Arabidopsis thaliana: one gene and its partner. The protein of the gene in region 2 interacts with the protein of the main gene of each other region in a pairwise test. Each region holds a gene or a part of one and is shown on either strand. Other genes may lie near its edges. The genes, in order: AT5G44260 and NAC004.

What was found.
Region 1: the proteins of NAC004 (region 2) and AT5G44260 interact in a two-hybrid assay, tested with the Arabidopsis thaliana proteins (one large-scale study listed by BioGRID).

Annotation. Positions count from the first base shown.
Region 1 is NC_003076.8:17,827,463-17,834,535, forward strand, and holds AT5G44260 (Zinc finger C-x8-C-x5-C-x3-H type family protein), read right to left. Parts: upstream 3,875-7,073; 5' UTR 3,658-3,874; coding exon 2,512-3,657; 3' UTR 2,156-2,511; downstream 1-2,155. Other genes in the region: AT5G44265 (Bifunctional inhibitor/lipid-transfer protein/seed storage 2S albumin superfamily protein), read right to left, coding at 5,317-5,323, 5,481-5,854; AT5G44270 (TPX2 (targeting protein for Xklp2) protein family), read left to right, coding at 6,174-6,355, 6,662-6,759, 6,938-7,035.
Region 2 is NC_003070.9:432,924-440,118, reverse strand, and holds NAC004 (NAC domain containing protein 4), read left to right. Parts: upstream 1-3,196; 5' UTR 3,197-3,343; coding exon 3,344-3,497; intron 3,498-3,579; coding exon 3,580-3,842; intron 3,843-3,990; coding exon 3,991-4,122; intron 4,123-4,202; coding exon 4,203-4,469; intron 4,470-4,555; coding exon 4,556-4,669; intron 4,670-4,795; coding exon 4,796-4,945; 3' UTR 4,946-5,154; downstream 5,155-7,195. Other genes in the region: NAC005 (NAC domain containing protein 5), read left to right, coding at 560-713, 805-1,067, 1,196-1,336, 1,440-1,697, 1,785-1,901, 2,013-2,168.

The DNA of each region.
Region 1 (7,073 bases), on a different chromosome or scaffold from region 2:
AAAATGATTGAACCAAATTGGCGATCGTCTATCCCCTCTTCAATATGGCCTACCAAATTTTTCTCAATCTTTACTCAAAAAAAGTTCATAATGACAGTAATTAATCTCGCGATTTTTTTTTTTTTCATAAACAAATCTACAATAATTCTAGCAATAAAAAAACAATTACTTTTAACATTGGTTAGAAGACAAAACAAAATCTCTAAATTCTTTTTGCTTTGCCATAAAAAATAGTCTACTCTAATGATAAGTTATGTATTTTTACAATAGGTAAATAAAACACCTACATGATCTATCGATAAATTTTATTGATGGATTGCCAGTTTCTCATGGTAAGTCTATGATTATGGTTGTTGTGGATAGGCTGAGCAAGGCTTCTCAGTTTATATTTGGTCTCATCCTTATAATGCGATGACAATAGCTCATCATTATTTGGATAATGTTTACAAACTTCATGGTCGTCCCAAATCTATAGTTAGTGACGGAGATATATAAGGTGTTTACTAGTGAGTTCTGGCAAGAGTTTTTTACACTATAGAGCATGACTTTGAAGATGTCAAGTGCTACATCCACAGTGTGATGGCCTGACGGAAGTGGTCAATAGATGCTTGGAAACTTACTTGCGGTATTTGTGCAATACTCAACTGCTTTTTGTGGAGTAAGTGGTTGGCGTTAATTGAGTATTGGTACAATACAAATTATCTCACTGCCACTCACTTGACACCTTTTGAGGCGGTTTATGGAAAGCTCCACCAGTTCATCTATCGTATTTACAAGGGGAATCCAAAGTCGATGTGGTAGCTATATCATTGCAAGAAAGGGAAAATATGGTGTTGTTACTTTGAATTCAAGCTATTAGCTGCATATAAAGAGCATGTGTTTAGCTCATTTCATCATTATCGCATCATCTCTAAACTTGTGAACTCTGCTATAATGATCTTCCTTGGATATTTGGTTGGGTTTCTTTCATCTTGAGAGCTAGCTTGATGATTGAATCTGCATTTTATGAACGTTGTTTTGAACTTTTGATTAATGGATTATACAGATTTCTCGTGTGTTAATTTACTTGTTTGTGTTGAATTATTGGATTGTGGAGTTTTCTATATTACATGGGGTTTCAAAAACCATGAAGCTAATGGATCGGAATTGTAGAGCTGAAAAAATCCCTGAAAATTCGACACTTCAAGAACATAAGAGATAAATTTTTTTTTTTTTTTTTTTTTTTTTTTTTTTTTTTTTTTTTATAACTCTCTTCACATTGTATTATTCATCTACCGTAGTACCGTACGTACGTGGTCCTCACTCTCACATCTCAAAGAGTGAACACTCCAAAAGAAAAATCAAGAAAAAAGATGGGAAGTTAAAGGTACATGCATGCACCAAACTCTTCAACAAGAAGTAAATGGTTAGAGTTCCATGTACCATAATATTTAAATCCAAGCTTATTAGGGTCCATTTTATGGTGTAATTGGCCCACGGTCCTTTCTCCAAAAACATATGTAAATACATATAATGCATGATGGTGAAATATGTCTCCAAGGAGACATCTAAAGGACTCATCGACCCATCGAGATGAGAATGGGAACTAAGTATTGGTGGGTCATCCGGTCCACGTGACACCTCCACACCCCGACATACTTTGCTTTTGTATATTTGCTATTATGTTTATCTATTTATGTATATACATGCACATGATCACATGTACATATATACACATGTATAATTGTATATATATTATACCTAATTATACCATATCTATATGAGTAATGTACACCTCTATCTCTATGCATGTACAGCTGTCGTTCAGATAAGTATGTCTCCTAGGAAACAAGTGCTCTCGGAGTGGGGAAATTATATTATTATTATCGGACTTTTTAAGTTCTAGTGTCATAAAAATGAAGATTTTAAGATTTTGTAGTAACTAGTATATGATAGGAATAGCATATTTGCTCCACAATCAACCAACGAAACCTAACAATAACGTTATTCTCCACTATATATATACTCGACTCGAGGGACATAATGTTATGTTACAATTACAATGTTAATGTTTCACTTGCTTAATAGCACAAATATAGAGCATATACAATTCTTTGATGTACCGATTTAAATCTATGTAATTAATTAAGAATCAATTTTCTTATAGTAATGATTGTGGACATTAATGAAAAGTACTGTAGGCATATAACTACATCATCATTTTCTATTAAACAGAATATTTTGAAGTAAACATTACATAGGAATTCGATCACAATGTAGTAGATATTACAAGTTCCAAGAGATCAATATAACAATAGAAGTTATGGACTCTCTTATTTAACAAAAAATACAGTAAAAATATATTTTTAAAGCACGACATAGTACTACAGACTCTTAATTAGCTCTCGTGGAAAAAATCGTAAATACTTTTTTAATAAACAATGTACCACGACGGACCTCCGCCGCGGCGCCGCCGTATAATTATTCCCGTCGGGAAAGATCTCAAGTAGTTCACAGTTGATGTCATACTGTTCATGTCAAAAGATCGTTCACCCATCCTAGATCAAGATCGCCACTAGAACCGACTTCAAAGCTATTTTTATCCCTAGCTTGGGCCGCCGCAGCTGCAGCCACCGAGAAATCGCTTAGCCGGCCACCACGTGGTGTGAATTCATCGCCAAAGAAGCTCGACGGTGGTGGCTGAAGCTGGCCATGGAGGTAACTTGGAGTTGAAGAAGGTGAAAGAGCAAATCGTAGAGGACTACTCTGTTGTAATTGGAGATCTCTGTCTCCGACATCAAGCCACGGCGGAAGACGGTGGTGGTGGTGGTTGCTGCTTAGATTCGATGAAGCGATCATCGTCGCCGTGGAAATGGGCATGGTAACGGGAGACGATGAAGAAGCTGCAAGTGCTTCCGTGAGACTTAAGGAATCTAAAGAACTAATCAGTTCGTTTAGTACGGCGGTGCGACGGCGGCTCAGCCGTGAAAATGCATCGGCTTTATCAGCTGGAGACAAAGGCGGAGACGATGAAGGTGATCGTGATAAATTCAAGAGAGTACTCGTCGGAGAATGGGAACAAAACAAGCAACATCGATTATTTTTATTGCTTAAAACCGATGCAGGGGATGACGACGGTGATCCACCGCAACCACCGGAAATATGATTCTCCGGGGACGGTGGAAGAACTCTCAGCTGACGTGGAGAATGAGCAAAGAAACAAACTTTCCTCTTACAATGCTTACCGTCTTTACAAGCTTCCGTACGGTAACGACTCGGATGAAGCCAACACTCGAAAACCCCGTGAGCGAAACCGCATTCATCACCACGGCTACAATCACCGTGACGGCTAAACTCAGGGCATACTTCTCCGGTGTAGTGAAACCGGCGAGGGTCACGGCGACGAGCCTTTTCACCGGGATGAGAGAAAGGACAGTCGGTCCAGTCATGGCTACGGCTACGCGTGCACCGTCGGATCTTGAATTCGTACATCCGGAAATGGTCTCCAGCGTAAGGATCCTCAGAGTCAGAGTCGTAACAATAGTCTTTCTGTTCTTTATAGTCGCGAAGGGGACTTGAAACTGACGACGGAGACTTGGCGGAGGAAAGAAGCTTCCTCGGTGGAATATCCACCGTTGGTCTACTGATGTGGCCGGATTTGTGATGTTCGACGTCCATGTCTACGTGGCGAAAGATGAGAGAAAGACTTTTTATTATACTTTTGTGTATTTGTTTCCTATTTGGGTTTGAATGAGAGAGAGATAGGAAGAGATAAGTGTGGGATAAAATGATAGATGCCTAATTGTCTCTATATATATGCGTTAGTGGATACATCCATATACATGGTTTGAGATAAAAGATAATAAGACGTTGACAAAAAAATATCAAGGATGTTTTAGAATGCTAAAATTGCAGTGCTTCTATGGTGGACGTGGTTATATTCGTTTTTAGATATTTTGCTTAAGAACACAACAATTGATTTAAATTATGATTAAAAATAGTCAAAATATCAACATATGTATTGAATAACTTATTTTTTTGAAATAGATAAAATAAAATAAAAAGGAAACATATTGATATTAATTTATCCACATTTTTTTTTTGTTAAAAGGCTTTAATTTATCCACATTTTATTAATTAGTTTTAGTTCATGAGTATATTTTTAAACAGGAAATAAAATCTGAAACAATTAGTACATTATATTCATTTAAATGATTCGTATTTAAAGTATATCTTAGTGTTGATTTAAATTGACAAAAAAGAAAAAGGTATACGTATTGTAAGTTATTTAGTGGAAAAGAAATGATGATGTGTAGAGTTATAAGAAGGAGACAAAAGGGAAGAGTTCGTGGCGAAAGAATATTAAGATAGGTTCATGCAATTCAGCAGGAGCTGGCGGTTTCTTACGGATATCGAGTCATTGTTTCTGAATAATTCGATATTTTTTAAGGTAGGCATATTTACATCATTACATGCATGTATTAGCTTCATATTCTCGACCTAAAACTTAAAAGTACTAATACTATAATAATGGTCATCATGAGTCATGACTCAGTGATAACTCTAGAGTAAACTTTGCAACACAGAACGCATGTGTGATGCTATACTAAATATATATAGAAATGGCATTATCTTCGAACATTGTGATTAGTCTTAACAGGTTTGAGGTGTTAAACAAGGGTGGATCTCTTTATTGGTTACGTGGCTCGCATGGAAACGAAGATCCTTTGGTTTTTCCTTCCAATCGGTTACTCTTTTCTTAAGGACAATTGTTTTAAACACGCATAGTTATGAAGAAATAACGCATATATATGATATTTTGTTTTAAAATCGATATGTTTTATACATTTATTTTATTTTTGTTACTGCACATTTTGCTTATTTTAAAATTTATTGATTAGTTGTCCAATCCAAATTTTTTTTTATGAATAAATCATTAGCTAAAAAGTCTATTTAAAATTTTAAATAACAGATAAGACAACAAAAAGAAATTGAGAAGAAATCTTTCATTCAAGTCATCAAGTGTCCCTTCAGCATTGTATTAAAAGTGGAAATTATCTAAATCAATACTTCAAATTTGTTGGAAGTATACTAGTATAAAGATATACTTTTTTTGTAAGAAAACTGAATTCGAAATCTAACGAAAATGACACAAATATATGCTAGATTCAACTTTTAAAATGTGGCTGCCACATTCTCTAAACCAAAATAGTCAAAATCTGGAGAAAAAAAAGAACCAAACTAATATAAACAAGACCAAAATTGAATACCCATACACATAGAACCATATTTCTTGAACACCCCAAAGCAAACTGGCCCACACAACCCCTCAAGACTTTAAACCCTGCATAAAACCAAACACATGCTACATTATTAATAGTTTTGAATATACAACACAACAACATAACTAGTTTATATAAAAAAGATCATCTTAAATCAAAACCCAAACCAATCTCGAATCTTTCTCCACTTAAAGTAAAATTTAATGTTTATAAACTTACGTGGAGCAATCCATGCTAGAGGAGATAGGGAAACTGAGATGTGTGTTGCAAAGAAGAGGAAGCTGTTGGATCTTATCAGCCAACATTGGAGGCGTATAACCTCTCGTCATCATCTCAACACAATTACACAAAAGCCTCGGGTTCTCTTTTTTGTGTTTCGCAATTATGTTAAGTTTTACGATATGGACACAACATTTTTTACCGGGTTTGTAGTAATATCCCGTGAGAAAGTCTAGACAATAAGAAAAGTAATCATATGTGTATGCACAAAATGGTACGTACGAGTGAACCTGAATCATTAGCCTAGTGTAATCGGAGATCACGAGAAGCAGTAGAAGTGAAATCGCGACTAATTTAGTGGTGTGTGTATCCATTTCTAGACTTCGAATTAATTGATATACACAATGAGACCAACCTTAGACTAATTTGTACATAGTAGTTCAGTATTAGTGATCATGCTTATTTCATGAGTTTTTGTTGTTGTTGATGGTTGTGTCATCGTATACGTAAATACCAATGAGAACAATAATACAAATCGAATGAACCTAGGTTTTTATTTTATTTTATCAAACAAAACTCAGGAATAAACCTAACAGGAGGATAATTAATAGCTACTCGCCCAAGCATTTGTGGTCCAGTGGTAAGAGAAGATTTGGGGAAGGGTAAAACTTCCAGACCCGAGTTCGATCCTCTATGGAAACAAAAATCACATTTGTTTGGGAAGTTTGTCAGTTGGGCCTTGGCCCAATTAGTTTACCTGGTAGTCAGAAATGCATGCGGCCTGACTACTCTCTGGCATTAGTCGGAAAGCATTCCAAACTCGGGACAGACAGTGTGGTGGTCCTTCGTGGAGAAGTCCACTCTAAAGTACTTCGGTGCGTTTCTACCGAGGCTGACCATTTCTAAAGGGTAGTTAATATTTTCTTATACTCGTAATATGTACATGTGAATTTTCTTTTTATTTGATCTTTGTGAGAAGCAAAAATCGTCCTACCATTACTAAATTTACATTTTATTGTCATTTAAGTGTCAGTTTTATATAGAATAAAGTTTTATATAGAATAAAGTTTGAATCTGGTTTCATTTAGATTGTTGTAATTGTGAGTAAACAAAAGATTAAAAAGTAATACAAAATATTTTACCTCTATTTGATGGCTCACCTTATTATCATTATTATTTAGAGACTGTAAATCTAGAGACTGTACTATCTTGCTTGTTTTGCATAACTCTAAATCAAGACAGGTGAAGCCATCAAAAGGCAAAAGCTTGATGATGGGAGGTAAATCCAGACAAGTTAGTCAACTCAAACTGCAATACTTGTTTCACTATCTCACTGTATGTGTTAATCCGACCGTTGATGTCACTAGATTCTGAACCTAAAACCAACAACTTTGCCTCACAAGAAAAAACAAGGACTTGTTAACACGAGCTTCAACTTCTGCCCTTCAGTCACTAAGCAAACCCGGACAGAGAACATAAAGGTGCATTGCGTCTGCCGATGACACTAAAAAGGCGAAAGAATTCAGAGTTTGTGACATCTCAGAGAGTTCGTCCTGTAAGACTTAACGCACTTCAGAGCTTGAGGAAGAGATG
Region 2 (7,195 bases):
TGTGGCTGGTTCTTTTTATTTACGACTTCTACGAAGTTTCCTATATACAAATTTCAATGTGGTTTACTTTTTGTGATCTTATATAAGCTTCAAGATAAATTAACCATTGACGTTAACGTTAGGAGTAACTGTCACATCACATGACTAAGCGCACTTTGACTTAAGTGGGTAGGGTATCAAGAAGATGATCTGGTAGGAAAGAAATTATGTGACCCAACATCTGCATTATGGGGTCCAAAACCTGTCCGTAAAATAGTTGACGAAATCTACCAAGGATCTCAATTTTTTTTTTTTTTTTTTTTTTTAGGATCTCCTTTATTGTGCCTTATATAAGCGCACAAACCCATCTTGCCTGCTTAGAGCATGACCAGCGGTAGTTTTTTAAATTTGGTTCTCAACAGTTAAGATATGCTTTAAATCCCTTTGTTGGACTTGCTCTTATGATATAAACTTGTAGACGAGCGGGCGAAGAGCGACCATAGAGAAAGCTCTCTACTTCATATTTTGATATCTTTCCCTCTCTTAGTTTTGATCTGAACCTTTTTGTAGCTGTTGAAAAATGGCGAATCCGGTGGGTTTTAGATTCCGTCCGACTGACGGGGAGATCGTCGACATTTACCTCCGACCGAAAAATCTCGAAAGTAACACGAGCCATGTCGATGAAGTCATTAGCACAGTTGATATTTGTAGCTTCGACCCTTGGGACTTACCTTGTAAGTCTTTCTAACGCGAGTGTTTGTTTTTCTTTGGTTCCCAACTGTTGTATCATCCCGGTAATTTCTGATCATGTTCTGTCTTTCCCAGCCCATTCTAGGATGAAAACAAGAGATCAGGTTTGGTATTTCTTCGGCCGTAAGGAGAACAAATATGGTAAAGGTGATCGACAGATAAGAAAAACCAAGTCTGGTTTTTGGAAGAAAACTGGCGTTACCATGGATATAATGCGCAAAACGGGAGATCGTGAGAAGATCGGTGAGAAAAGGGTTTTGGTGTTTAAGAATCACGGTGGTTCCAAGTCCGATTGGGCTATGCATGAGTATCACGCTACGTTCTCGTCTCCTAATCAGGTCATTTTTCGATTCTCTTGTTTAGGCTTCTTTAACTTGTTGTTGTTGTTTTCTTACCGTGATTTTATTTCTCGTAAACGGGAAAAATCTGAGTTTATGGTAATCATTTATGCTGAGTTGATCTGTAGATAATGACATACACACTCTGCAAAGTTAAGTTTAAGGGTGAAAGGAGAGAATTTTCAGTTGCTACTGGTAGTGGAATTAAGCATACTCACTCTTTAATCCCTCCTACCAACAATTCTGGAGTTTTGAGTGTAGAGACAGAGGTGAGTCAATCTCAAAAACTTTCCCTGTTTCTCTTTTAAATCTTCAAAATCATATCTCGTACACATAGTTTTTTCATCTGTGTTACGTTGTTCCTTTTTTCAGGGATCGTTGTTTCACAGCCAAGAATCACAGAATCCAAGTCAGTTTTCTGGCTTTCTTGATGTGGATGCACTAGATAGGGACTTCTGCAATATTTTGAGTGATGATTTCAAAGGCTTCTTTAATGATGACGATGAGCAGAGTAAGATTGTTTCTATGCAAGATGATCGCAACAACCACACACCTCAAAAGCCATTGACCGGTGTCTTCAGTGATCATAGCACCGATGGTAGTGATTCTGATCCGATTTCTGCAACAACTGTAAGCAAAATTTTCCTATTTTACCTTTACTATCTCCTCTGTTTTCAGTTTTTTCTCACAAAGCTATAGTTTTGTTTAATACGACAGATTTCCATTCAAACTTTAAGCACTTGTCCTAGTTTTGGTAGCTCAAATCCTCTATACCAAATCACTGACTTGCAGGAATCTCCTAACTCAATCAAGTTAGTGTCATTAGCTCAAGAGGTGAGCTTTATCATCTCCTTTTCTTAAAGACCAACCATTCTAAACTGCTAATTAACCAAGCTACTTTGTGCCAGTACTCACAGCATTTTGGGTTCTATGATGTGATTTAAGGTGAGCAAAACACCGGGAACCGGTATTGATAATGATGCACAAGGGACTGAGATTGGTGAGCATAAATTGGGTCAAGAGACGATCAAGAACAAAAGAGCTGGTTTCTTTCACAGGATGATACAAAAATTCGTCAAGAAAATTCACCTAAGAACATGATATCAATTTTGTACTTTCCAAAATCTGTAGTAGTATGTAATATGTGTCTATCTGGTTTTGTAACTTTTACACATTGTATGTGTGCCCTGAGATATATTAAAATATAATGGTGAATTTGTGATAAGATGTGGTTAGAGGAAAGAAAGATGTATCACTTCATTTGATTCAACTAACAAAATGGTCAAACCACATCTTTTTTTTTTTTTTGGTAGTAACGTGACATAATAACTCCCATAATTATGTATTGTTTTGTTTTATTTTAGAATCCCCGAAAAATATTCGGATTTTCCCTCCTTTTTAATGGAAGAAAACTAGAGATACAATATGGATATCAAAAGCTGTAGCAATCAACCTAACAAAATAGACAATTTTTCGTAGCAATCAACCTCTACTCATCTAGTCAGCTAGTCCTACTTAACCCCACAAAAGATTTCGTTCAACAAAATAAAATAACAGTATCATCAAATCAAAGATGCTTTAATCTTAATTCTAGCAATGTCACGAGTCTCTTTTGGACTTTTATAGATGTGTGCCACGCGAATATCTTGTCATGTTAGATGTTTAAGCCCAAAACCCGCCATTAGACTAATCATAACTTTTATTTTATTTGAACGTCTTAACGGTCGTCATCATTCAATTTGATAAATTTTATCTTTCTTTACCAGTTGTTTTATTATTTTCCACGTTACCGACTTTTAAAAAAAGTGATTTTACTATGTATTTACTATAAAACGTGTTAAAAATTATACTAAATCGGAATGTGAAAATGTCATTAATCCGGTAAAATAAAACGGAATGAAAAAGAGTATTTAGAGAATTTGTCAGAAAGTGTAAACAAATAAAACAAGTGTGTGGGGATTGGAAAAATCATGGTGGGGTCATTAGGATAAGTGCCAGCCGCCGCCATGTGAACTTGGTGTGATGTGTCCTGCTTTCATCATACATGACGTCATCCACTTAGTGGGTCCCATCATCTGGTCATAGTTGACGTCACTTACTCCCGTCACAGCCTTTTTATAAAAAATTATAAACACACACTTCGTCTTCCTCCTAAAAACAAAAAAACTCACACATAACTTGCAGAGCATCGTTAATGGCGAAACCTCTCTGCTACATATTTTGACTTTTTCTCACCAATTTTGTCTTTTATCTGAAACTTTAGTCGCTCTCGGACAATGATGAATCCGGTGGGTTTCAGATTCCGTCCAAACGACGAGGAGATCGTCGACCATTACCTCCGGCCAAAAAATCTCGATAGTGACACTAGCCATGTCGATGAAGTCATTAGCACAGTCGATATCTGTAGCTTCGAGCCTTGGGATTTACCTTGTAAGTCGAGTTATTTTTTCCCAAACTGTTGTATCGAATTCGAAATCATTTGCTCTGATTTCCTCTCCCTCTTTTTTCACAGCCAAGTCGATGATCAAATCGAGAGATGGGGTTTGGTATTTCTTTAGTGTTAAGGAGATGAAGTATAACAGAGGTGATCAACAGAGAAGAAGAACAAACTCTGGGTTTTGGAAGAAAACTGGAAAAACAATGACTGTCATGCGCAAAAGAGGAAATCGTGAGAAGATCGGTGAGAAAAGGGTTTTGGTTTTTAAGAATCGAGATGGTTCAAAGACCGACTGGGTTATGCACGAGTATCACGCTACGTCCTTGTTTCCTAATCAGGTAATTTTTCAATTCCAAACTTTTAGGGTTTTTTGTTGTTGATTGACCTAATTCCAGATTCCTAGGGTTTTTTCTATCTCTCTTGTTAATTGACCTAATTCTGGTGTTTTGTGGTGGTGATCGTGTTTTGATTTGATTATTTGTACAGATGATGACGTATACAGTCTGCAAAGTTGAGTTTAAGGGTGAAGAGACAGAGATCTCTTCTTCTTCTACTGGTAGTGAAATTGAACAGATTCACTCTTTAATCCCTCTTGTGAACAGTTCTGGAGGATCTGAGGTGGGAGAATCTCAAACTTTCTCTGTTTTGTCTTTAGAAACTTTGAAATATCTGACATTAGTGTTCCTCCCCTTTTTCAGGGTTCGTCGTTTCACAGCCAAGAATTACAGAATTCAAGTCAGTCTGGTGTCTTTGCTAATGTGCAGGGAGAATCTCAAATCGATGATGCAACTACACCGATTGAGGAGGAATGGAAAACATGGTTGAATAATGATGGTGATGAGCAGAGGAATATCATGTTTATGCAAGATCATCGCAGCGATTACACACCTCTAAAGTCGTTAACTGGTGTCTTCAGTGATGATAGCAGTGATGATAATGATTCTGATTTGATATCTCCTAAAACAGTAAGCAAAATTTTACTCTGCATCTTGATAATCCTCTGTTTTCAGATTTGACATCAGAAAGCTAAAGTTTTTGTTTCATATGACAGAATTCTATTGGAACTTCGAGCACTTGTGCTAGTTTTGCTAGCTCAAATCATCAGATAGACCAAACTCAACATTCTCCTGACTCAACAGTCCAGCTAGTGTCATTAACTCAAGAGGTGAGATTTATTATCTCATTTAACTCTAAATGCTAATCATGTTACTTTGTTAATTTCACCACTCACAACATTGAGACCAGATTAGAGAAATTATTTAAATGGTTGGTTCTTTAATATATTTTGCAGGTGAGCCAAGGTCCGGGTCAAGTGACTGTGATTCGAGAGCATAAATTGGGTGAAGAGTCTGTCAAGAAGAAAAGAGCTAGTTTCGTTTACAGGATGATACACAGATTAGTCAAGAAAATTCACCAATGTTATTCTATCTCAAGAACATGATAACAATAGATGAGACCAAGAACACCTTTTAGTACTTTTCCAAATTTGTAGAAATATAAGTTATGTCTATCTTGTTTTGTAAACTTTGATCAGATTGTGTGACTTCATGTATGTACTCTCTCTATATAAAAAGGGTGGATTTGTGATACGAAGTTGTTAGAGAAGATAAAGTTGTATGAATTCAATTAATACAACTACCAAAATGTTATGTCTATCCTTTTTTGTGTAAAATTTCCCTATTTTATGTTGGTCCAATATATAAAAACGGTAAATTTGTGATGAGAAGTCCGAGAAGAGAAAGTTGGATAATTTTCAATTCATACACGATACAACTAATAAAATGGTCACTTTCTTTGACAAAAGATGAAAATGATCACAATCAACCTTGAGGCTATAGTCCTACCTAATCCCCACAAAAGATGTCAGGTTCTCAACAAAAGGAAACAAGGATAATATCAAATCAAGATGCTTCGATTTTAATAATGTCAAGAGTTTTCTATAAGACTTTTAGTCTACATCTTACGTGCAGCATATTGTCACTTTTATCTTTGAGTCCAAACCCCATTTGACTGATGCTAACTTTTTGTTTTCTTCCTCATTTTGAGATTTTTTATTTTATTAACAAATAATGAACAAGATTCTTTGGCTAAATACAACCAATCCAAATCAAAATCATTTCAGCAAACTGTTACCAAACATTTCTCTAAAATTTAAAAAAAAAACAAAAAAAAAAACATTTTCTCTAAATCTGAAAGAATATTTTATGGCCAGAAAATATTATGGCCTTAGTTGAAAGTTGAAACTGTGCCTTGGTTGAAAAGTATGCACGGCGCGTGTAATTAAAATGCTTCCACGTGGCCCAATTAGCTCACATATTTTAGATTTGGTCGTTGTTGGTGTTTGGTAACATGTCCTGGCCCACCACTACTTCACTGTTCAATTAATTAATGAAAATCCTAAATTGCAACTTGCTAATACTTTAGCTTTACTACTCCTTGGTAACTCTTATAACGAACTAATAAGCTGTATTTAGCAAAAAAAATTACTAAGTAGGAGGAGGAGTATTTGGTTGGAGCTGTCTAGTTCTTTTATCTACGCCTCCTACGAAGTTTCCTATATACAAAATCATTATATGTGGTTTACATTTTTACATCGTTTGCTTCGACATAAATAATGAACTATCGAATTTAACAGAGCAAAAATAGAAAAAAAAATGTGGGATTAACAGCGTAACTGTCACATGATAAGTGCAATAATTATATGTCAGTCTTTTGATTAATGTATATTTTAAAAACTTGCAACTTGCAAATACTCTTTTCCCCTCTTTTTTATATTAAAACTAAAATATAAACCTTTTCTATGCCATCCTGCAAGGCAGATTTGGGCACTATCACAAATTCCTACGGCCCCAAGGATTTTTCCTTCGAATTCAATTTTTACGAATTTGGATCATTTGTTTTGGAGAATTCCTTCAGGCGTCGATTCGGCTTCTTACCCATGGATAATTTGGTATATATGGAAAGCAAGAAATGAAAAAGTTTTTGAAAATGTGGATAAAGATCCAATGGAAATATTGCTCTTATCGGTAAAAGAGGCTCAATCGTGGCAGGAAGCTCAAGTCGAGCTCCATAGTGAAAAACATGGTTCCTTGTCTATAGATAGTCGAATTCGGGTGAGGGATGTATCACAAGATACAACTTTTTCTGGCTTTCGGTGTTTTATTGATGGATCTTGGAAAGCAAGTGACCAGTTCTCAGGAACAGGATGGTTCTGTCTATCATCTCTTGGAGAGTCGCCAACCATGGGAGCCGCCAACGTTCGTAGAAGTCTATCTCCTCTACATACCGAAATGGAAGCTCTTCTTTGGGCGATGAAGTGCATGATTGGAGCAGATAATCAGAACGTAGCTTTCTTTACAGACTGTTCAGACTTGGTGAAGATGGTGTCTTCTCCAACCGAATGGCCGGCGTTTTCAGTGTATTTGGAGGAGTTGCAAAGTGATAGGGAAGAATTCACAAATTTCTCTTTATCTTTAATTTCTCGTAGTGCAAATGTAAAAGCGGATAAGTTGGCACGAAAGATTCGTACCGTACCGCATCATGTCACGTATGTAAACAATATCCCTCGGGATTGGCTCTTTTGAGGTTTAATTTATATCGGTTGACAAAAAAAAAAAAAAAAAAAAAACTAAAATATAAACCAAAGGGTAAAGATATTTTGTGGGAGAACATTTTTCTTATTCATGAACCA